2 linked regions of the Arabidopsis thaliana genome follow. The protein of the gene in region 1 purifies or fractionates together with the protein of each later gene. This does not show direct contact. Each region holds a gene or a part of one and is shown on either strand. Other genes may lie near its edges. The genes, in order: GSH1 and AT2G43090.

Region 1 (14,591 bases):
TTAAACTTTCATCCACACATACACTTTAATCATAACAAATACATGTACAATATCTAGTAATCAATATGGGGTTGGTAAGGTAAATCCCAAAAACACTAGAAAAAATTACCAACAGAAAGCTCCTTAACGTCTGAAATATGTCTTTTTGTGCAAATTTTGGATATGTCTTAGCTTCGTTTTACAGATAGATAGCCATATTTAATATGATTTCTGTAATGTTTTTCTGAACCTTTTTGTTTTTAATTAATTGGTTTTAATAATCATATCTCTAGTCTAATTAGTTCTTAGGATAAATATGTTTTTTTTTTACTTTTAAATTTAAAGAGGTAAAAAAAGAAGAAGAAAAAAGAAAAAAAGTTTTGAAATCAATAATATATATATATATATATAATTTTAGATATTTCGTTTTAATAGCAATAAAAGGAAACCTATATAGGGACAAAACCACTAATTTTCTTTTTTCCTAGTTTTGAAATCTATGAACTGTCATCTGCCAATATTAATAATGTCTATTAAAATATACAAAATCTACCCCTTAAATGCCAGTTTTACAATAAAACGACACAAATGGTTAACTCACGTGTTAAAGCTGAATTTTAAGAATGGACGTTCAAGAAATTTTCTCACATTTCTAGGGTTTGTGAGAGAGTTGGTGAAGGAATTTGAAACTATCTTCAATAAAGAGAATTCGGAGAAAATCTTTAGGTTTCTGAATCTTAAAGTTTAATATTGGTTGGAAATTTTGAATATGTGAAATAGATTTAATATGGGTCAAGATTTTTTTCATTGACATCTTCAACTTTCCTATACAAAATCATGTGTTGATGTTCACTCTATAGCTTCAATATTTAATTGTAGGTTACATGGACCTCTTATGACGGATTTTCGATAATCAAACAAAAAAAAAAGTAAATGTTAAGACAAAGGATAAAAACTAAAAAAAAAAAAAGTATTCTATGTACATTTACAAGTTAATGAATAAATTAAGTGGTTTAGCTTAAGCCTCTTCTTATCCACTGTAACAAACTCCAGCCATCTAATTAACTTAGCCATTAATCACTTCAAATAAAAAAAACGTATGTTCTCAACATGCATCGTTTGTATATGGATGGAACTTTTTAATAAAGAAAGAAAGAGAATCCAAATCTCATTGGTACACTAACAACACTTGGAATCAAAGACGATGAAGGCTCAAAAGAAAATATTGGATTAAAATTCTCAGCAAGATGATAATGTTTATGATAGAACACAAAATTAAAAATCAGAATTAAGAAAATAAAAGATAAGATCGAACTACAATTTTAGAACATGAGATCATGGTTTCTCCTTAGCCTTGCTTTATGCTTCTTCTGTCGAAATCTTCTTTCAAAGAGTCTTTTTAACTTCTGGTTCCCAGGACATGGTTTCTTCAGGATTATTGTTCTTCTCTGAGATCCTTCTCCTCTTGTTTTGCTCTTTGTCTGCTAGCCTCGCTTCTGGAGCTTTTCTCGCAGTTTTGTTCTTCATCGGCTTCATATTGGTTGCTTCACTCTCCGCTGATGATGAATCGGATGCTTCACAATCCGCTTCATAGGAAAAGTCACTCTCCGAAGAGCTTTCCTCACTTAGTCCTGGTGATCGAGCTCTAATGAGAAGAGCTTTGTAAGGGGCTTTTCTTTGTTTCCGCGGCTTCATTTGCGAACCAGTTGCTTCACCATCTGTTGAATTCACTTTAGATGACTGAGCGCTTATCAGAAGAGCTTTGTAAGGCTGCCTATGAGGGGGCTTAGGTGCATCTGATGATAATATAAACGGCTTAGATTTTTTCCCCATTTGGAACTTGCAAACCTGAAAGATCAAAGGAAAGAATTCACAACAAGAGAGAGTGAGAGAAACAATGAAAGATAAAAGATTGTGTGTGAGAACTTATAAGTGTCTTTGGAGGACTCTAGATATATAGATTTTTCTCCTTGCTTTTACAACCCTCAAATTGGATGGTAACAGCTTTAAATTTTTGTCTTTGTTTCGCTCCTAAAATACGAAAAAGAAAGATATTAGATTAATGTTGTAATTTTAAATCGTACCGTTTGTTGGACCGAATCAGAAGTCTCTAAACTAATTTTTTCTATTTAAAATTTGGTGCGATACAATAATTTTTGTAAAATTTATTTTTAATAGTTTAACTTTGTATGATAGAGTTCAAAGATTCAATTCTTACAAATTATTAACTAATTTAATTATCTAATTGAAAAAAAAAATTCTTCATAATTATTTATTAAGTCAAAAGTAAAAAAGGGTAAAAAATCCGTCTACAATACTTAATTAGGAAAAGATTTTGTAGTCAGATATCTTACCTTTTTATACTTTAGAATTATAAACATTAGCTACCAAACATTTGAATATAATAATTTTGTAAACACTTTGTTAGGAAAAGATTTTGGCAGTAAATGTATATGGTATTAGATTTTTTAAACAAAGAAAATAAGATTTTTCTTTATATGATTGTTTTTTAATTTGGTATTTTTTAATAAAAATGATTTTTTCATTATTGTTTTTATCTAAATAAGGATTATGGAGATCAAATGAATTTTTTTATCTTATTATATAAAATACATTTCAAGACATTAATTTATTTATTTTTTTCGTTTTTATCTTCAAATTACATTTTTTTTTTAAACTCCTTATATAGTCATTGTTTCCCTTTTATTCTTCTATGATCAGACAAATATCTCTTTAACCATTTAACCTAAACGAACAAGTTTAACAATTGTCTTAGTTCAATGAATTCGAATTATATTTTAAAAATATATATTTTAACTTATAAGTAAAGTATTTCTAGTCATAGAAGCATAAAAAGAAAAACTAGAAACTCAACAATAAGAGAATAATTTTAAATCTAAATTATAAGACAAAACCAATAAAGCTTTTAAAATATGTCTTAGAAGTTAGAACAAATGAACGATGAACTGTCTTGAGATGGATTTCACATAATATGAGTATATGACACATAATCTCTTAAAGTTTTGATTGATTTTCATTCTTTCGGCTGTTGAATATGCCCCGGCCCTCACTCTTGTAGTACAATCTTTTTATCGGTACACACTGAGTTACGTCACTGTCGATGTCAATATCCATTATGGTGGTTTTAAATCATGAGAAAGAATCGAGGTTAATATCAGTCGATTAGTATGAAAATCGAACTGATTTACAAAGATAAAAGATTGGAATTAAAAAAGGCTCTTGATCTATTTTCTAGCTTGTTTTCTAGAAAGAAGTGACCCTGGTCTATACGACCTCCTTAGTCAATCCATGCAAATCATAACGTCCCCATCTCGATGTCTACCAATTTAACGTTTCCTTTTTAATTTGTTAGATATGCCCGTTTTATTTTGACTTGCTCAAACTGTATAGGGCCATCACGAGCTAAACTGATGTGACTTGGGCCTGGTGAGAGTCATGAAGCTCCGGAATGTTGTAGCTCGATGTTACCTATATAAGCTTTCTTTATGGGCCTTGAATAGGCCGAGTTCAAATGTGAGAATCCAACACCAACAGCCACTTAGAACAACTTTTCAAGATTGTGTATCATCTACCTCTTCGGCCATATTAAGAATATGTGTAGTTGGGCTTCGGTGAGACTTATGAGTTGGGCTTGCCATGACAATCCCAGATGTTACTTTTCTCTTAATCCCTAGGAAGAAAATCTTTTGGTAACTTCAAATCATTATAAGCGCAAATAGCTAGCTACTATGTCTGATGCATTTAGTTACTTTGTGCTGAGGATTGGGGTCTTTAATGTGAAATCGAAAGTTTAGGGTTTCTCGTGGATATTAGAAAACGTTAAGGTTGGAATATAAAGGAAAAGATTAACTGAAAGAGTCTGCATAGCACACTCCAGCTTAATTCCGTATCGTTTTAGGATTTCTGACTTCACTCTTTGACGGCTATATATTAATGTGATTTTCCATTATGTCAAATGTTAATTATTATTTTTTAGATAAGTTTTCGTGAAAGTTGAAACGGTGTGACTTGTGAGTGACGAATGTATAGGAAGAAACTGTGGAGGTGGGTTCCGTTTAAGGCTTTGGTGGTGTGGAGATTAGAAGTCATGGCCGCCATTTTTGAGTCACGCACGTGTCCACCTACCTTACCTTCTTATAACTTATTCATTCATGTGTTCGATAAAATATATTTGATATTAATTTAAACATACAACATAGAAGTGCACAATTACAAGAGTTTTTTTTGTTTTTCTATTTTTGTCGCTACAAGAGTTTTTAGTTTTTACTTACGTTACGTATATGCAAACGCAAGCAATTCTGCATCTATTTGTTTTTCAATGGCAGCCATAATTGATATCAAATAAATAAATTACTAATGCCACATGTTTTTTTAGCACAGCTTCATAATTCATAGGAGTATCGATATGTAACACAATAATGGATCTTGTAGTAAAATTTGAATAGAGTCAATTAAAAAAAAAAAAAAAGATAGAGTCAATCTGTGCGATATAATGAAATTAGAACGAAGCTCGAATTTTAAGATTTTAAATTATAACAAAACTCAAATGTGTTATAACATTCAAAAAAAAAAAAAAAAAAAAACTTAACACAATAATTAGTTTTTCTCATTTTGAGAAAACCAAATTCTCGAAAGTATGTGAAAAATACCATGGAATTTGAAGGATTTTGTAGATTACCAAATAGTAAACAAAATTTCTAAACTTGTTTTACTATGATTTTGTCACGAATACAAAATCAAACTCAGATAGAGAAATTAGGTGATATATAGCCATAATTGTGTTTACTACTAAAAATACAGTTATTTCTAAAAATAAGGTAAATGACCACCATGGTACCATACTATTCCATGAACAATATAGACAAATAGCCTTCCATTGTTATAATTGGGATATTGTCAAATCCATCCCGTATCTATATATATTATTATACACAAGTAGAACTTTTGATGGTGATTCATTATCTACCATTCACATGTTTTTGTATCATTAAATTGTTGATTATAAAAGCAGGATTTGATTCCACCTACTAAGAAGTAGGAAATATAAAAACATAACGCCAATTTTCGTTCATCAGAACCAAGATTTTTTTGTCGACACAATCAAACCAAATAGATAATGATACTGTTTTTTATAGTAGTATATATATTTCTTTTCCTATAGAGTATTTTATCTGAGGTCATGTGGTTGGTTAGTGACACACTTTTCATTATTTTACGTTCTAAATTAAATATCGTAAAGTTAAACCTCGTTTAAAGTATACTATAAAGAATAGAAATATCATTAATTCATTATACACACTATAAAGTTAACCTTTGTTTAAACTACTAATAAACTGGTTATTTAAAAAACTATTAGGGTTAAATTTGTGAGAAATGGAAAAGTAAGAGGCAAAAAACGAAAGAATCTTTTATTACAATGATTATTAATTTTATCAACTTTCTTTTATAGACAGCTCAGCTCCACTGATCGGCTCATGCTCCACTGATCAACTTTCTTTCATTTTTTTATCAGTTTCTCATTTCTCTCTCAGTCGCATATAAATTTGAAACGCCGATTCGTTTTTGCTCTTTAAGCTTTCTTCTTGATTTCGACGGTGTCTCTCAATCTCCGTCAAGCTTGACGAATTTCAGGTGTGATTTGCTTCTCTTCTTCTTCGCTTTCTGGACTTGTGGATTTTGGTTTTTGATTGATTTGTTCTGCTTTTTTTTTTTTGGTTGAATCTTCGCTTTTTCTCATGATTTTTTTTTGGCTGTTGCATGATTTTGGTTTTGTTAGAGTCGAATTTTTGCAGATTTTTGCTTTGATTTGATTTTTGTTGTTGTTGTTGTTTCTGGTTTGGTGATACACGAATTTTGATTTGTTCTTCCAGATGATAGTTCAATTCTGTGGTAGCTGCTGATTCTAATTATGTGATATATGTTATTAGAATTGAGAAAAATGCAGTTATTTGTGATTTCTCATAGCTTATGATGAATTGTTATAATTGCAGGAGCTATATATACCATGGCGCTCTTGTCTCAAGCAGGAGGATCATACACTGTTGTTCCTTCTGGAGTTTGTTCAAAGGCTGGAACTAAAGCTGTTGTTTCGGGTGGCGTGAGGAATTTGGATGTTTTGAGGATGAAAGAAGCTTTTGGTAGCTCCTACTCTAGGAGTCTATCTACCAAATCAATGCTTCTCCATTCTGTTAAGAGGAGTAAGAGAGGGCATCAATTGATTGTTGCGGCAAGTCCTCCAACGGAAGAGGCTGTAGTTGCAACTGAGCCGTTGACGAGAGAGGATCTCATTGCCTATCTTGCCTCTGGATGCAAAACAAAGGACAAATATAGGTACAGTTTGATGCTTATATGTTCTGTTAAAATGCTACTTAGTGTTTGTAATTGTGACATATTTCTTTGTTTGTGCTCTTTTACGGTGTTGGTATTGTTTGAATTCATCCAGATTGTTTGTCTATTGGAGAAATATTCTGTTTTGCTAACTTAACATTGTGAGTTTTCAGAATAGGTACAGAACATGAGAAATTTGGTTTTGAGGTCAATACTTTGCGCCCTATGAAGTATGATCAAATAGCCGAGCTTCTTAATGGTATCGCTGAAAGATTTGAATGGGAAAAAGTAATGGAAGGTGACAAGATCATTGGTCTGAAGCAGGTTAACATTCTCCTGTGTTTCATCTTTTGAGCCGTTTATTATTTATATACATTTTCAGCCTGTAGAACATGTTAGCTTCATATACAACACAATGATCGGTATATTATAAGGTTTCAGTCTTTTTTTTTTTTTTGCTGTAGATAACTCGTTCTGTCCTTTTGTTGACCAGGGAAAGCAAAGCATTTCACTTGAACCTGGGGGTCAGTTCGAGCTTAGTGGTGCACCTCTTGAGACTTTGCATCAAACTTGTGCTGAAGTCAATTCACATCTTTATCAGGTAATTTCAAAGATAATTATTGCCAATGCTCTCACCCTAAAACGTGACAAATAACCAACTATCTACGGATGTCACAGGTAAAAGCAGTTGCTGAGGAAATGGGAATTGGTTTCTTAGGAATTGGCTTCCAGCCCAAATGGCGTCGGGAGGATATACCCATCATGCCAAAGGTATGACGCTTTCTCTATTCTTAAGATTGAAGAAAGTTAACATCTGTTTGTTTCTAATTCAGATAATATTATCTGATTCTACATAGCCAACGTTCGGATTATTTCTTGGTGTTTGTGTTAAGTTTTCCTATGACGAGTCAGGCAGTAAGATTTGACATAGTGTAATGTGTTCTGTGCAGGGGAGATACGACATTATGAGAAACTACATGCCGAAAGTTGGTACCCTTGGTCTTGATATGATGCTCCGAACGTGTACTGTTCAGGTTAGATTAATATTCTGACTTTGCGCCTTTTCATAATTTCCTTAAACTAAACTTTCCAGTTCTCATCAATAATCTTATTTTGAAACTTATAGAAACTGCATTACTTGCAATCTTGACAGGTTAATCTGGATTTTAGCTCAGAAGCTGATATGATCAGGAAGTTTCGTGCTGGTCTTGCTTTACAACCTGTGAGAAGCTCGATCTCTTTGTGGCATAACCAGAAACTTTTATTAACGATTTTGACTAACCATTGCCTCACTATTATCTAAATTCAACAGATAGCAACGGCTCTATTTGCGAATTCCCCTTTTACAGAAGGAAAGCCAAACGGATTTCTCAGCATGAGAAGGTATCTAGATTCAGTTGTTATGATCCCCGATATCTTTTTGAATTAGTTTCCCTCCCACCTTATAACTCTGGTATGTTTTGACAGCCACATATGGACAGACACTGACAAGGACCGCACAGGAATGCTACCATTTGTTTTCGATGACTCTTTTGGGTGAGTATCGATGTTTAATCTATGAAAAACAATTACATTACATTGGTTGGTTTGGTATGAGAAGCTTCTCAAAAACCAATGACTCTGTCTCGCATTCTTGATGAGTTATTGGAAAATTGATATGTGCTATTCTGTGGATTTTCTTACATATGTTTGTGTTCAAGATAGAAAGATGCTTTGGATCTTTATCCTTCTCTTGAAACAGCATGGCTAATCTTAATTTTATTGCTCTCTTTTGTTCTTATCTGGTATAGGTTTGAGCAGTATGTTGACTACGCACTCGATGTCCCTATGTACTTTGCCTACAGAAAGAACAAATACATCGACTGTACTGGAATGACATTTCGGGTCAAAATCTATCCTTAATCTTTTCTGTTAGGTTCTATAACTGTTTCATTGCAAGGAATTGGCAAATTGAAAACCATGGGATCTTCTTGAATTATATCTAATCTCATAATATTCTTCATGCTGCAGCAATTCTTGGCTGGAAAACTTCCCTGTCTCCCTGGTGAACTGCCTTCATATAATGATTGGGAAAACCATCTGACAACAATATTCCCAGAGGTTAATCATCTGCCTCAAGAGTCTTTCAATCAGCCTATGACTTTCATTTCCCTGTCTTATGTTGAAGTCTGACAACGTTCCATAACACTAGGTTCGGTTGAAGAGATACTTGGAGATGAGAGGTGCTGATGGAGGTCCCTGGAGGAGGCTGTGTGCCCTGCCAGCTTTCTGGGTAACTACATCTATTAGCACATATATATTTCGTGCTTAATGAGAATGTTTCAAAAAGTATTGACTGTTGTTTTGATTTTATCTACAAATTTCAGGTGGGTTTATTATATGATGATGATAGTCTCCAAGCTATCCTGGATCTGACAGCTGACTGGACTCCAGCAGAGAGAGAGATGCTAAGGAACAAAGTAATAACAAGACGCACCACATTTACATTTTCTTATTCCACAGTTAGAAAACATCTTGTAATAAACTAATACTTGATTTCCAACAGGTCCCAGTTACTGGCTTAAAGACTCCTTTTAGGGATGGTTTGTTAAAGCATGTCGCTGAAGATGTCCTGAAACTCGCAAAGGTGTGTTTGTATGAACCCTCTTAGAAACTTCGAGCCAGCTTTCTATCCCGTCTGGTCCAGCTTCTAACTATTGGACTTATTTTCTCTTTGTTTCTCAGGATGGTTTAGAGCGCAGAGGCTACAAGGAAGCCGGTTTCTTGAACGCAGTCGATGAAGTGGTCAGAACAGGTAAATGAAGTTTCCTAATGCATAATTGAATTCCACACCGACATTTTGTTTGATAACCTGGTGGTGAAATTTGGTTTTGAAATGACAGGAGTTACGCCTGCGGAGAAGCTCTTGGAGATGTACAATGGAGAATGGGGACAAAGCGTAGATCCCGTGTTCGAAGAGCTGCTGTACTAAGAAAATGGGACGTGAACAAAAGGTGTCTATAAACCTTTGGGTGTGAGTTTATGCTATCTGAAGAATTCGAGTCTCCGGAATAAGGATTTTTTTTTTTGTTGTAATCGGATTTTAAAAACTGATTTTGTTTTAGAAATTCGAAGCATTGAAAAGCAGAAGAAAAATTGTATGTACTAAACGATTTCGGTGTGGGAAATCGTTTGGGAGGGTGTGTTTGGATCTTGAATAAATTACCCATTTTTCTTGTCACAAATTTGTCTACATTTAACGAAATAACTCAAAACTGATTTCAAGGCAAAGGCGACGGATGGGATAATCTAGGCTGTGTAGTGGAAAGTTTTGATGTTTAGTAATTTGGCAATGTATGTTTTTTTCTAAATGGGAGAGCATCTTCGATGTAGACATTTACGAGCTTTTCCTTTAATAGGTTTTGGCTAGTGAAGAACACTGCTTTCATAATTGAATCCACCAGACTCCGCGTAAACTAAACTGATTACAACACGATGATCCTGGCCGTCGGTAATTATCGTAAAACAAGAAGATAGTGGCACTTAGGTGACAGGATAATATGTAAACCCTACCAAGGCGTCCCTACAAAATGATGAGTGATGACTGATGAGAGTGAGAAAAACCGAGTCTCCACAGTCCACACACTGCCTTACCTAATTAATATACCCACCTTTCATTCATGTATGTTACGTCAACGTTTTTATGTCCGTTAAAACTGTAATCTACATAAGAGATCATAATTTTTAAAATCTCCATGTATTTCGTTGATACTTTAATTTGGCACGTTTCTAGTTTTTGAGATCAAATGTTTTTAATCTGCTTCTAGTCTTATTTTTCCTAAACCTTAAACTGTAAACCAATTGCTTTTTCACATAACCTTGCTTGTTTTCAATTTTAAAATTTAAGTCCAATATTTGAAACAACCTAACAAATGTCGTCTATGGCAACCAAAAAAAAATAAAAAATCAAAACAATTTGCTAAAAAGGAAATTGATTAAAATTGATTTCTTTCATTTAAATTGGAATTTAATATATTAGGTAAACATGTAAACGCAATCGCAATTTTTATGAGAGACTTCGGGCCGGTTCGTTTAAGTGTCGCTGCGACTATAACTAGCGACTGGCTTTAAAAACGACTGAGTTTTGTTTGTTTTTATTGTTTTTTTTTTAAGTTCGAATATGTCGTATAGATCTGTAAAATAATTCAAATGTGGCTTTGTCCCATAGATTGGTTTTGATTATGCAATCATCTATCACAACAGTGGAACATTATGCAATCATTTATTGTCTATCAAATTAATTATGGTTATGAAATATGAAGGATCTTACATCTTAAAAAGTGTTAATTATGATCGCATGCCATTTAGATTCTTTCAAAAATTCAGTTTGAAAGTGGAAAGCGCGCCAAAATTTGCAGAAATCAAAAATCCGTTAAAAAACGTTACCAAAAAAATATTTTAAAACGGGCCAAAATATTTCAAATGTGGATTCCATAGATTGGTTTTGATTATGCAATCATGTATTACAACAGTGGGTTGAAATCACTTCTCCTACCTGATCATTAGCTTCAAAAGTGCCTTGGCTACAGTAATAGGATTTTTCATGTATATGAAAATATTAGTTCAAATGGGAGACAATCTTTTGAATTGGTATAGAGGTTGTCAGGTTGATCAATGATTCAGGGGAAGAGTGATGACAAATACTAAGAAATGATCCAGGAGGTTGTCATCCGTTTTCCTATTAATAGAATTGGATAAAAACTTATTTGACTTCTAAATATTTATTAGGTTGAACATTTTCTCAGATATACTATGAAAACAGTCAAACAAAGGATAGTCAAATTTGCATCCGTGCAAAATATTTATTGTGTAGAAAATTAGAAAGCAACTCTTTAATTAGTTTCTTCACTAGCCTAAATATATTTCCCCTTCTCACTGTTTCTACTTTTGATTGATTTACTTATAAATGCCGATTGAGGCAACATTCCTCCATACTTCAATTTCTTTCTTTCCGCTTAAGTTAACGATTTGGAAAAACATGAGCGAGAACTCTTCGATTACAGTGGATCAGCCAACAACGTCTGTTTTCTTCTTCTTCTTCTTTCTTATTTACAATTTATATTTTCTTGTATTTATCAATCTTGGAGTCTTGAATCTAAACAATATATATAATGATCTCTTTTTCTTCAATCATCACAGAGAAAATGGTAATGGCCAAGGAGAGCAGGTGATTCAATTGGGTAATATGCCGCCTCCTCGTAAGTATATTTCCAATCTTCAAAATTAGGGTTTCTTTGAGGGATCTTGAAAATGTCATTTTCACCTCTTTGTAGTGTCACCACCCACCGCACGCAGAATCCTAGTGATCCCGCATGGAGCCGTAAGTAGTTTATTTTCCTCCATTAGTTCTGTTTCCATACAACTTCTTCTCCTCTTGAGTTTTCTAAAAGAGATGTTTTGAACCTCGACCAACAGGAAATTGTCAGTGTACTGGCATATATTTCTAGGGCTTCTCGTCAGGCAGTCTACATCTTGTCAGGGAGGGGATGCGTTTCACGAGCCAACTTGGTGTCGTTACCAATCCGAGGAAACCGCATGGTAAGTGTTTTAGTCTTAATCATTCAATAGAAGCTTTTTTAGTTTCCAATTGTTTCTCTGATTCTGCTTGGCTATATATAGGGTATTGGGAGAATACTTTACTTGAGTGGATGGTTCCAACCGATGCTCACTGATGTAGGTGTTGCTGTACATTCTAGTCGTCCCAACGGAATACTTCACGTCTCCCTTTCAGGTGTTTCACCAAGTGTTGCTATTGCATATCAACTTTTTGCTTTCGGAGATGTTGAGGTGTTGTTGACTCTTTTTACCATTATATATCTCAATAGATTCTTTTAGATTTATTGATACCAAAAACTCTCAATACTTCTTGAAACACATTGTAGGTGGATGTTTTTTTTGTTTGCGGACCGGGGTCAATATTTCAACCGGATGCACCAGGTGCACCGAGAGAACGGGTACGAGTTAATGGAGTAGCATTAGCACAAGCACCTGCTGGATAATAGATACTCTATAAAATTTAACCTAGAGATGGCTGCAAAAACAGAATAAGTAATAGGAAGCAACAACTTATTATTACTTACAGAATGATATAAAACATAGTTGTTTGCTTTCTCATATTTGACTAATAAATCAATAAAAATAATAATATTACCTTGATGTTGAGATGAGATGTGGTATGGGAAACTAATACGGTTGATGACTTGGGAATCTTTGTCATCAACAACTTGGGAAAGTTACGTTTAATGCTTTTGCTAGCTACTAGATTACAATACCTTTTTGATTGGATTCTTGGAGCAGTTTAACATCAACCTGCATTTCATTGAGCATTTGCAGCGAGAATTAAAATCTAAAATATAGGATATAGTATCCATACCAAATTAACAATAGGAACTTACGGAAGCGAAAGAAACTATATATGCTACATAAGAGATTTTCAGAATATTGATTACAGAACAAGTTCTCTATAGTGTACAATACCTGGAAGAAGAAGAAAAAGATTGATTTATAATGGGATGTGTTAGACTCTTGTAGTCTTGTTAATATTTCAAACCCAATGGTATAAGATTTTTAATCAAAAATAATATCAAATTCTTTAAAAATGATCTTTACAATGCTAAACCAAGTAAAAATAAATAGATGGCCGCTCCCTGTTTTTTGATCAAATAGAACTTTCAATCATTAACATTACGTCACTTATTATTTGCTGGCAGTGCTCTTTTATGTCTAAGGGCTTATGATCTTCGCTTGGCAAATTGTCATTTGTGAAACCGAAGTTCACAGCCCACCCAACTTACCAAGAAGACACTTCCTCTTCAACGTGATAAGTTATTTCTTTCTAAATGAATATGAAATTTTATTCAATTAAAACAAAAAAAAAAACGTTTTTACAACCAAGTGTTACTGTTGGTTTGAAGTTTCATAATTACATGTTTGGACCCGCATGCTTAAGGCCTAGTTTAACATCACTAGTGACAACAAAATCACATAAACTTATATTACTCAGACAATATCAAAATCACACAATTTCATCGAACACAAAACTTAATATTTCATTGGTTTTATTAGTTAGTTTTCTTACAAATCGATCCCATTAAATGAGCATTATTACAACCACACACATGCTAAAGTGCATGTAGACTATTGAGCATATTCGTGTAAGATATGACCTCAAATAATGGGGTAGTGAAATGAAACTTGACTTTGGACTATAAGCTCAACCAGAAACAAAATTAAGTCTAAGTTCTAAAAAAATTCTAAAGTACTTAACAGTGTTATATCTAAATAAAAAAAAGTTTAGATTTTTGTAAGATAAAAAAATTAGGTAATGTGTAGTGGAATTTCCTAAAGATGATGATATAAGAAATACAATATTTTCTAAACTTGGAACATATAAAGAGTTCTTCTTTCTTCCTCTTTCTAACCAAGTCAAACAAGTTAAATAAAAATATATGAGGATGTTCTTTAAATTTCTCTTAAATTTCTTTTTCTATTATTTTTTTTTCATACTAAGAAATTTATTCTCTTGCTTTCTTCTGATCATGTTCAGACATTACAATTTTATAATAATGGTAAGCACTATGGAAGTTTAATTACACTTGGGGCCTCCATAAACAATAAGATGTCCTACATTTCTCCAAGAATCTTGCATATATATTGTATCTCCCACTTTATAACAACCGTCTGAATATCTCTCTGTGTTTTTCACAAAATTGTCGGCATTATAATTTTCGTCCCAAGTCGTGATCAAACGGACATATGAGTCTAGTCTGGGGGTCCCCTTCGGATAATGGCTATTACCCATCGGAGGACTTGGGGACGAAGGGCTATGGACTTCACCACCCCATTCGATCTCTGTACCAAAACTTTCTTTGAACCTCTTTGCTGGCCAGACACCAATTTTTTCCCATAATATGCCAGTACCCATCAACAACCACCAATTTCCGTTGTCTTTGTCCTGTACTCAACAAAATCCACATTAAATAAAAAAGACTAAAATTATAGACAAAAGCTTGGCATGCCTACGTTTACCGATTCACATAATTAAAACATGCAATTACTGTTTCTAACAATTCTTATCAATGTTTGGATACTCAAATTTTAAATATCAGCAAAAACAACTTGGGAATACCAATACCTGATCTCATTTTTAAAACTATAATTGACAAAAATCTTTATTGAATTCAATTTTTGAACTATCTTTATACAAACTAAGAGAAATTTAAAGA
Region 2 (10,715 bases), on another chromosome or scaffold:
TCGACAAGGCAATATGTCCATCTAACTGGAACAAACAATGTCAATACAAGATATCAATGAACATTGCCAAAAAAAAAAGTCAGCTTGCACTTCCAAATTACATGGTGGAAGCCATTGACTTCATTCTAAAAGCAAGAAGAAAAGAGAAACTGACCCTGGAAGAGAGATGGGAACAAGAGTCCAAAGGATCTACAAAAGCAGCAGGAAATCTAAGAGCTTGATCAGGAACAGAAGGCAAGGCAGCTCCAAATTGAGCAGTTAAGCCAGTAAGGAAGTCTCCTTCAACACCATCAACCCAATTTAAGACCTTTACCTATATGAAGATCATTTCCACCAAATATAGAATCTCATTAACAAAGAGAGAGAGAGAAGGAAAACTAGATCAATCAACTCCACTGAACCAGAGAGTGATTAGATACGAAGTAAAGATAAGAAATTGAATGCACCATTTGAAACTTATTGGTACAGCCAGGAGACTCGAGGCTGGAATCTTCGGTCCACGATACATCGTCGGCCGCCGCTACCGAAAAACCAAGCAGGAGAAGAATAAGTACTAAGGCTGAATATCGGTGATTCGGCGGATCAAACGACGACATGACGCAATCGACTGAGCAAATCGGAGAGAAGAAGAAGAAGAAGAAGAAGAAGAGACAAAGAGTTGCTGTTAAAATCTTTCTGGGATATATCGGACGGTCGATATTATAGTCTTTTTTATCCTCTAAATTCAATAATTCTTTTACTGTTTCTATTGTGCCAATTTTTGAGTGATTCATTAAAACTATATGATATACGACAGCTCTTTTTGCTCAACTAATCAAAAATCATAAATTAATATATGTCGCATTATGTAAAATATAATGGTTTCAAAAGTATTTTGAGCAGAATTCAGATCCCCACGATGTATTTTGACTTGTCTAGTATGTCAAACAAACAAATAGAACAGTTAAGTAGAGGAGTTTGATTGTAAATTCTAAATGTCATCGTACCGGCCGGTTTAAATGTTCTTCATTTGATAACTATCAAGAAAAACTAAATTATTTAGATAACTAATTTATATGAACTCGATTTATCTGTTTATTTAACAATAGAAATATCAAGAAAAACGAATAATTCAGGAGAGAAACACCTTCTTGGTTATATAAAATTACAAGAAATTTACAGTTTGTACTTAAAATCTTTTCCCTTTGAATTTCGTTTTGAGCTAATTACAAAACAATTTGTTTTTTTTTTTCTGTTTGGTTCCCTTTGTAATTAGTACCTTAATTTACTCTGACAAGATGAATATTTTTCCAAAAAGAAAGTAAAAAGAGAAAAAGAGTCCATGACGGATATTCAAAAAATAATTAAAACAAAAAGGAAGGGAAAGAAGAAAGAAAAAGGCCTTTGTTTTTTTAAAGAGAAGAGAAGATCTCTGAGAAGAAACTCCTCTGACGTTTTTTCTCCACCCAAATCTCTCTCAACTCTCAAGCTCCTCTCTTTTTCTTCCTTCTGCAACAACAACAACTGTTACTGATCTCTCTCTCTCTCTCCCAAGTTTTTATTTTATTTTGATCGGAGATCGAGATCAGCTAGACATGGCTCCTGCCATGAAGATCGTCTTCGGTCTCTTGACATTTGTCACTGTCGGAATGGTCATCGGTACTTTCTCTCTATTTATAGTCCTCTACATTTGATTTTTAATTTTGGTCTTCAAAGTTTATATCTTTTTTTTTGTTTTCTCTCGGCCAAATTGACTCTGTGAGAAATTGAAACGGCTCTTTCGTAAACTCATGGAGATTGTGTTTCTCTTTTGTTCCTGGAATCTGCAGGTTCCTTGTTACAATTGGCCTTTATTAATAGATTGGAAGATTCGTACGGTAACTCCTCTTTCTTTCTTATTTTCTTCATTTATACTTGTAGATGTGTCTTTGGTGATAGAATTGCAAATATAGGTATCTGAGCTCTTGAGCAAGGGATTGAGAGGACATTGCACTACAATGTCAACGAATTCGTAGGACTAGATCAGGGATTTTGATTGTAGTTTATGCTTACTACAATGAAGAGATGATCCCCTTTTGGATTTTCTATTGCTTGTTTTGTTGTTGTGGTGTCCTTTTGATTTCTAAATTCTTTCTCCTTCTTATTCAGGAACTGGATTTCCGTCTCTAAGAGGACTTCGAGGACAGAACACCCGCTATCTACGAGGTTGGTGTGATCATTTCTATCCAAAACTATGCTTGCATTTAGGTTGTTAACATAATAGTCTCTTTCTAACTATTTGAATCTCGGCTTTATGACAAGACTCTTCTTATAGAGCTTGATTTGTGGACATGTTATGATACCGAATCGATTAATGGCAAGACTTGTTTATTTTCAGATGTCTCCCGGTGGGCAAATGACAAAGATGCAGAATTGTTACGGATTGGCAATGTAAGTATATCGTATCCATTTTGCAGTTGTTTTTTTTTCTTAGGGCCTATGGTTGCCTAAAAATTTCATTTATATACCTCTACAGTTGAAGAATTGGTACATGGAGGAGAAAAATTAAATTGTTTGTAGTACGGACACATTTCTTAAATATACTATCTCTTTGTGAAACTATGAAAATTACACACACATGTATCGTTTTTTGTTTTACTTCTGTAAATCTAGGTCCGTTTTGTGTGCTTCCAGCTAATGTTTATTTTCTTTAGTGCAGGTCAAGCCTGAAGTAGTCAGTTGGTCCCCTCGAATTATTGTGCTTCATGACTTTCTCAGTCCGGAGGTATATACACCCCCCACTAATAAATTCTAGTTCATTGAGTTAGCTGATTGTAGAATAGTCTGTTCTTGCTGATGTTAGGCCTTTAAGTAGAGAAAAAACTTGTTCATATCATCTTTATTCTAGCAAGGATAAGCTAAGATTTGATAGAAAAGCAAAATCTTAGGCTCAGTTCTAAGTATTATCATAAGAATTAGCAAAAGAGCTTTTGGCTGTTTTTTGTCTTCCCATTAAAATAGTTTTCTTGTTTCTCCTGATATGTATATTTGCAGGAATGTGAATACCTAAAAGCAATCGCCCGGCCTCGCCTTCAAGTTTCCACTGTTGTTGATGTAAAAACCGGAAAGGTATTGGACAATACCTTCCTTTTAGTTCTGTAGAAGAAGTAAAATTTCTATTACATCCACTCTCTGCCTTCGATTGTTCAGTTGTTTCAATCAAACATTGGACACAAATAGAAACGCTCTAGGTTTGCCTGCAAAGTCTAATTCATTCTCTTCCATAGTAGACATATTCTAGTTATGCTTTCAAAGTCTTAACCATACTCTTCCATTTTCTTATCACTTTCTTCTTGCTTAGGGAGTTAAAAGTGACGTGAGGACAAGCTCCGGAATGTTTCTAACTCATGTAGAAAGAAGTTATCCAATAATACAGGTAAGTCACTCTCTCATATCTTTTAAAGGCGTGCCATTTTGATCAACTTTACAATTTTGTAAATTATATTCCTTTTCGTTTGCTATTATTAGGCAATTGAAAAGCGAATTGCAGTCTTTTCTCAAGTACCAGCGGAAAATGGAGAACTTATTCAAGTTCTAAGGTGCGTGCACAACCGCAACCTTACTATTTTTTAAATCTAAAGTAAACGAAGCTTTTTTCTTGTTTTGATGAATCAAAATCTGCTGCAGTGCAGATATGAGCCGCAGCAGTTTTACAAACCACATCACGATTACTTTGCTGACACTGTAAGTCTTTGGTTCTGTTTTCATATATATATATCATTAGTAGATTGGTAAAGAAAGCTTTTGCTCTGATTAAAAAAAAAACTAAAAAGAGGCTACAGTATTTAACTTTTGGTTTGGTCAATAATGTTTAGTTGGATCTGTACTTCATCTTCTCCTTCTTCATCATCTTAGAACATTTAGTTTGGAAGTACGTTTATTGTGGGTGTTCATCATATTTCCTCGTTTCTTTTCTTATGGTTGCTACACAGTTCAATCTAAAGCGTGGTGGTCAGCGCGTAGCAACTATGCTTATGTATCTAACTGATGACGTCGAAGGAGGAGAAACTTATTTCCCTTTGGTATAACACTTTCTCTCTGTTCATGCAAATTTCAGAAAACAAAATAAACCAATGGTGTAATATCTCTCTCTCTCTACTTGAAATGCAGGCTGGTGATGGTGATTGCACCTGTGGTGGCAAAATCATGAAAGGCATCTCTGTTAAACCCACCAAAGGAGACGCAGTTCTCTTCTGGAGCATGGTTTGTTTCTTCAATCTCTCTCTCTATGTCTCTACACAAACATGAATCAATTGGACTGCTTTGAGTTCAATTACTTCTTGTGTTATTCAGGGACTCGACGGACAGTCAGATCCTAGGAGCATACATGGAGGATGTGAAGTTCTGTCTGGAGAAAAGTGGTCTGCTACTAAATGGATGAGGCAAAAAGCTACTTCTTGAAGAACTACTTAAAACTTTTTAAAACAAAAAGAAACCACAGGGACTTATATTGAAAAATGTCATAGTATCTCAGAGTTTTGATTTACTCTCTTTTTGACCCTTCAATTTTAGAATTTATCATTTACATACGTAAATCAATATGAATGTGTTTTACATTTTAACCTCTCCAACAAATTCTAAATTACTGTTAGCATATAACTGACACAGAAAACAATTACTGTTACAAAAGAATTAACTATCATTTCACCGAAATAACGAAGGAGAGTGGCATTTTGGTAAATAAGAACAAAGTCTCTATTTATAATCGCATTTTGGTTGACTTGCTTCAATCTTGACCACAGCAAAGAGAAACAAACAATGGCGGCTTCTCTGCAATCAGCAAACCCTACATTGTCACGAACCCTAGCTTCTCCGAACAAACCTTCCTCCTTCGCCACCTTCCGATCTCCATTTCTCAGATTCAATTCAACATCCGTCGCTTCCAATTTCAAACCCCTAGTTTCTCGAGAAGCATCCTCATCGTTCGTCACTCGCTCCGCCGCCGAGCCACAAGAAAGAAAAACCTTCCATGGACTGTGCTATGTCGTCGGCGACAACATCGACACTGACCAAATCATTCCCGCGGAGTTTCTCACTCTCGTCCCTTCGAATCCAGAGGAATACGAGAAACTCGGTTCTTACGCTTTAGTTGGTCTTCCAGCTTCTTACAAGGAACGATTCGTTCAGCCAGGTGAGATGAAGACGAAGTACTCAATCATCATTGGCGGTGAAAACTTTGGATGTGGATCGTCACGTGAACATGCTCCGGTTTGTTTAGGAGCAGCGGGAGCTAAAGCAGTGGTGGCTCAGTCTTATGCTAGAATCTTTTTCAGGAACTCTGTTGCTACTGGTGAGGTTTATCCTTTGGATTCTGAAGTTAGGGTTTGTGATGAGTGTACAACTGGTGATGTTGCGACTGTTGAGTTGAGGGAAGGAGATAGTATTTTGATCAATCATACGACTGGGAAAGAGTACAAGCTTAAGCCGATTGGTGATGCTGGACCAGTGATTGATGCTGGTGGTATATTTGCTTATGCTAGGAAAGCTGGAATGATTCCATCTGCTGCTGCTTGATTTTGACTTCAGGTATGATTCTGTAACTTGATGATGATGATGATGAGGATTGGTAATAGGTTAGGATTGAGATCGAATTTGTGGAATAGTCTAGGAAGCTTGACATTGAATTGAACGATGCAAAACATAGTTTTCAATGGTTCTAGTTAGAGAAAGAGAACACAGTAGTTGGGATTCTAGTTTTGTGTTGTTTAAAATGTGTTGGTTTAGTTTTTGTGTGAGATTGATAATGACTTGTTATTCTTTCTCTTCGCTTAAGACTTACTTTATCTTTCCATTGGTTCAATTTCTAGATTGTACATCTCTTGATTGTAGTTGTTGGGAGGGTAAAAGTTATGATGTTGGCTGATCTTTTCCATGCTCATATCCATTAAGACTTGAGTGTCCGATAGTAGAACAATACTTCACTCTTATTTTGTCTCTAAGACTCCTTTTTTTTTTTCCTTTTTTTGTTCTATTTGTTTTGCAGGTGTCAATGGAAGTGCATGAGAGTCACTTCAAGGATCTTGATCCAATAATAAGAATATGTAATGTTTCCAAAAGCTTATGAACCTAATCTATGTTTTATGAATATATATGACTATCGGCTTTAGTCTTCAGTATCAGTTTCTTGTTTACATTTGGATGTATCAGCTGCTAAAAAAATGCATAGTTTCCCATCCCATTTGAAACGACGTTTTCTCTCATGTCTTCCACTAATATAATCTTCTGGTCATGAGAACAGAACAGGAGCTCTGTTTTTCTCACACAATGATCGAACACACTTTTGTCATATAGTATAGAGAAATATTAACACTTCTTTTTAGGCATCCGTATCTAGAGTCTTTGTTTCACTGTGACCTACCTAAGTATATCAAAACGCACGTTTGGAATTCTGAATGGCACTTTCGTAAATAGGAGGGTACAAACATTTCTCCTTTTAAATTGTTTTCATCGTGAACTCTCTCACTCACTCAACAAAGTAAAGAAACAATGGCGTATTCTCTTCCTACATTTCCCCAAGCCTTACCTTGCTCGTCAACCAAAACTTCTTCCTCCTTGGCTACCTTCCGATCTCCTTTCTTAAGATTCAATGGTTCCACTTCCTTAATCCCCTCCTCTATCTCCATCACTTCACGTGGCACATCCTCCCCGACCATCATCCCACGTGCTGCCGCCTCAGAATCCGACTCTAACGAAGCCCTAGCCAACACAACCTTCCACGGCCTCTGCTATGTCTTGAAAGACAACATAGACACCGACCAGATCATCCCAGCAGGAGCCGCTTGCACCTTCCCATCGAACCAGCAAGAGCGTGATGAGATCGCCGCTCACGCTCTCTCTGGTCTACCAGACTTCCACAAAACACGGTTCATTGAGCCAGGAGAGAACAGATCAAAGTACTCAATCATAATCGGCGGCGAAAACTTTGGTTGCGGATCGTCACGTGAACATGCTCCGGTCTGTCTTGGAGCAGCTGGAGCTAAAGCCATAGTTGCTGAGTCTTACGCAAGAATCTTTTTCCGTAACTCGGTTGCTACAGGAGAGGTGTTTCCGCTCGAGTCAGAGGTTAGAGTCTGTGAGGAGTGTAAGACAGGAGATACGGTGACGATCGAGCTGAGTGATAGTGGTGGTTTATTGACTAATCACACGACCGGTAAAAACTATAAGCTGAAGTCGATCGGTGATGCTGGACCGGTTATTGATGCTGGTGGTATTTTTGCTTATGCGAGGATGATGGGAATGATTCCATCATTAGCTTAATCCTCTTCCATAACCATGATGGTGTTCTTGTATGCATAACTATTTGATGAATATTTGTGTTTTAGAGTTTTCTATTTTCTTAACTTTTTTATGTTTGTTTGATTTGGTATTGTTGTTGTTACCTAAAGAATAAGAAATCAAAAGCAAAATAGACCGACATGTTCCAAGATATGTGAATATGGTGAGTGTTTACTAAATTATGCGAATATTGTTGTTGCAACCTTATTTTCTTCCAAGTTGGGCATCAATTTCCCTTTTTGGGCTTAGTCTTCTTTTGTTTGTAAATTTAGTTTGTTTTAGTTTATTGTTGGCCCATTTCTGTAGGGTTTGGCCCGTTAAGTAAGTACCATGTAAACCCAGAAAATTTACAACGAAAACCCTTTAGCAAAAAAGTAATAATTCCGTTGGTAACTTTTCTCATTGTAGTACATGGCATATTTTACTTACTCTACTAACCAATTTGGTTTGGTTATTGAAAATTTGGCGGTTTAAACAAACCGATATAAAATAACCGTTAAGCGGTAAAAGAAAGGACATCGCTAAACCTAAATTTGCGACTCCTACTTTATAACGCCGCTCTTCTTCTCCATTGTTTGTATACTCTGAAAAACATGGCAACTACAGAGCTAAAACCCTCCGCCGTTAAAAACCCTAAAAGAAATCGAAGACCATCACATGGTCCGAAGAAAGATTTGAAGAAGAAGAAGACTAAGATTACTAAGAAGACTAAGAAGTCGAAAGCTCCCACCTTTGATAAGACCATTGAGAAGAGTAGAAGTAACGACCAGAAAACCGACAACGACGAAGACGAGCAACTGTATTCGGAACCGGTATCGGCCTCTGAGCAGCTCAACTACTTTTTGAATCATCTTGACTCCGCCATTGGTATCAAGGTTTCTTCTTTAGAGCTTGAACCCATTAAAGGTTCGTCCTTTGTTTTATTCTAGCTTGGTATTTATGTACTTCTGTTTAAGTATATCTTATTGGGTTTAGATATAAAAAAATACGAGCTTTGATTGTTCATTCGACTTATCAATGCACAGATTTCCCAAGTTCTGATGAAGTTAAGATTTGTCTGGTTTAATTGCAGATACGTGTATAGTTGAGTTATCTCAAGGGTTGGATCAAGATGTAAGCAACTTGGGAGAACATATAAAGCTTTCTTGTGGGTCTTCATGGAGAGAGACTCTTTGTGAAGGAGAGTCACTTGAAAGGAAAGTTGAACCGGGAAACCCATCTGTTCTTGTTATTAGTTCCTCTGCTCTGAGATCTTTGGAACTTCTAAGGTACATTGTAAATATGTGTACTTGTATCTTTGTTATTGATTGATATAATGCTTGATTGAATAGAAAGTTGCTTAGACTGAGTCCTGTCTTATGTATGTAGGGGTTTGCATTCATTGACTAAGCAATGTCCAGCAGTGAAGTTGTTCTCAAAGCATTTGAAGGTTGAGGAACAGGTAGTGTTTTATTCTTATAATGATTTGTCTATAGAGAACTGAACTTAATTCTAAGCACATAGAAAAGAGAGAACAAATTGAAACTGGCATTTTGAGTTATTTCGTTATTGAATCTTGTTTTGGTTCTCTTGTGTGGAATGCATTGTTCTTGCTTCTCTGGAACTTGGGATATGATGACAAAAATACGATATCTCTAAGGCTAATTGCTGTGCGGATGAAATGTATTTGCACGTCAGTCTGATCCCATTATGTATATAACATTAGGAGTTGGTGCATGCTCATGTAGTTCGTTTCTTTCATTTTTAGTTAATGTTAAGGATTTGGGAAGTGATGATAAGATATATCAATATATCATAGGCACATGCAATGCTGAACGATATATATTTGCACGTCAGTCTGATCCCTTTATATATATATAACATTAAGAGTTGGTGCATACTCATGTAGTTCATTTCTTTCTTTTTTAGTTCATGTTAAGGATTTGGGAAGTGATGATAAGATATATCAATATGTCATAGGCACTTGCAATGCTGAACAATATATATTTGCACGTCAGTCTGATCCCTTTATATATCCATCATTAAGCATTTATGCATATACTCATGTTATTCTTCCCTCTCTCTGTCTGTCTTTCATGTTAAGAGTCTGGGAAATGATGATAAGTATATCGATATTTCAGAGGCGTATGCAATGCTGAACGAACTATTTGCACGTCAGTCTGATTCCAGCTCTTGTTTTTGTTTCTTAATTTGCATATAAGAAGACTATAGAATTAGATTCTTCTGCTTTGGTCTAAATATGAAACTCTCATTTAAAAAAGAAATGGTTTCCGAAAATCTTTATATAAATTTCTCAAGCTCATTGTTATATGACTCGAATTATTAACTCTAGTTCATTGTGTTGCAGGTATCTCTGTTGAAGAAACGGGTTAATATTGGGAGTGGCACACCAAACAGGTTAGTAAATCTCATCACATCCTTTCATTGTTTCCCTTTACTTGTATCTCCATATCCTTCTTGCTCTAGATCCTGACTGTCCTCTTGCTCTTCTATGCAGGATCAAAAAGCTAGTCGACATAGAAGCTTTAGGGCTTTCGCGTTTAGATATGATTGTGATCGACATGCACCCAGATGTCAAGGGATTTTCCTTATTCACATTGCCTCAAGTCAGGTTTGGTTTCTCAACTCTTGAACAAGCTGCCCCATTATCATCAACGAGTGGAATTTTTTCTGATTTTTGTTCTGTTATATTTGCAGAGATGAGTTTTGGGATTTGTATAAAAACTGCTTCCACCAGAGAGTCCTAGAAGGAAGACTTCGTATCTGCATGTATGGTCCAAAGCCTTCTCCAAACCTAAAGAAGAAGAACAAGAAATAACTGTTTATTAATTGTATCAAATTCTTAAAATTAAAAAACAAATCTAATACTAATCTCTTTTTTCATCTCCAAGATTTTACAAAGAATTCTAACATAACCCAGGATATGAGATTTCTTTGTTCGAGCTGATTATCCCATATCTTTGTAATGTTTCACATAAAAAAATAATTGGACGTCGAAGACCACAAATCATCATAACACTATTTGCTGAGCTGAAATGAAGTCATAACACTACTTACTTTAGATTCAGGGTTAGTGCTCAATGAAATGGAACTTACCAGCTTTTTCATTAAACAGGTTATAGAAAGAAAGTAGACAAAAGATGCAAGATGAAGTTGCTGGAAATGCCTTTGATGCAGTCCGGAACTATTGTTTTCATTTCCCTTGTATAGTTGTGTATGCAATGTTTTATTGTCTGTTTCATCTTTCTTTTCACTTGTGACTGTAATTAAAAAGTTGAGTGAAGGAAGCCCAAAAAGAGCATGCACAAAGTAGAAAGGTAAGGTTTTAGATTGAGTGTTAGTACCACTCTAGTTTTACTTTCTTTAGTGAAACTCATTTACCAAATATTCACAATGATATTTTTCATATAGAACTTGAGATT

What was found.
Region 2: the proteins of GSH1 (region 1) and AT2G43090 fractionate together in Arabidopsis thaliana (co-fractionation; one large-scale study listed by BioGRID). This does not show direct contact.

What each region holds. Positions count from the first base shown.
Region 1 is NC_003075.7:12,098,165-12,112,755, reverse strand, and holds GSH1 (glutamate-cysteine ligase), read left to right. Parts: upstream 1-5,060; 5' UTR 5,061-5,631; intron 5,632-5,990; 5' UTR 5,991-6,004; coding exon 6,005-6,330; intron 6,331-6,500; coding exon 6,501-6,651; intron 6,652-6,820; coding exon 6,821-6,928; intron 6,929-7,005; coding exon 7,006-7,098; intron 7,099-7,277; coding exon 7,278-7,361; intron 7,362-7,480; coding exon 7,481-7,549; intron 7,550-7,639; coding exon 7,640-7,710; intron 7,711-7,794; coding exon 7,795-7,863; intron 7,864-8,117; coding exon 8,118-8,211; intron 8,212-8,337; coding exon 8,338-8,427; intron 8,428-8,518; coding exon 8,519-8,599; intron 8,600-8,693; coding exon 8,694-8,786; intron 8,787-8,872; coding exon 8,873-8,953; coding exon of another isoform or gene 8,954-8,977; exon of another isoform or gene 8,978-9,051; coding exon 9,052-9,121; intron 9,122-9,209; coding exon 9,210-9,298; 3' UTR 9,299-9,395; exon of another isoform or gene 9,396-9,657; intron 9,658-10,448; 3' UTR 10,449-10,621; downstream 10,622-14,591. Other genes in the region: AT4G23110 (insulin-like growth factor binding protein), read right to left, coding at 1,366-1,812; AT4G23090 (uncharacterized protein), read left to right, coding at 11,273-11,385, 11,506-11,564, 11,640-11,686, 11,782-11,904, 11,986-12,153, 12,249-12,365; AT4G23080 (transmembrane protein, putative (DUF239)), read right to left, coding at 13,952-14,320.
Region 2 is NC_003071.7:17,914,181-17,924,895, forward strand, and holds AT2G43090 (Aconitase/3-isopropylmalate dehydratase protein), read left to right. Parts: upstream 1-4,745; 5' UTR 4,746-4,776; coding exon 4,777-5,532; 3' UTR 5,533-5,544; intron 5,545-6,001; 3' UTR 6,002-6,316; downstream 6,317-10,715. Other genes in the region: SPPL3 (SIGNAL PEPTIDE PEPTIDASE-LIKE 3), read right to left, coding at 1-25, 155-313, 447-773; AT-P4H-1 (P4H), read left to right, coding at 1,575-1,638, 1,809-1,856, 2,128-2,184, 2,357-2,409, 2,678-2,743, 3,013-3,087, 3,320-3,394, 3,487-3,557 and 4 more; IPMI2 (isopropylmalate isomerase 2), read left to right, coding at 6,505-7,275; AT2G43110 (U3 containing 90S pre-ribosomal complex subunit), read left to right, coding at 7,887-8,199, 8,366-8,561, 8,662-8,734, 9,641-9,690, 9,791-9,904, 9,991-10,111. UniProt on the Arabidopsis thaliana protein: Catalyzes the isomerization between 2-isopropylmalate and 3-isopropylmalate, via the formation of 2-isopropylmaleate. Plays an essential role in leucine biosynthesis.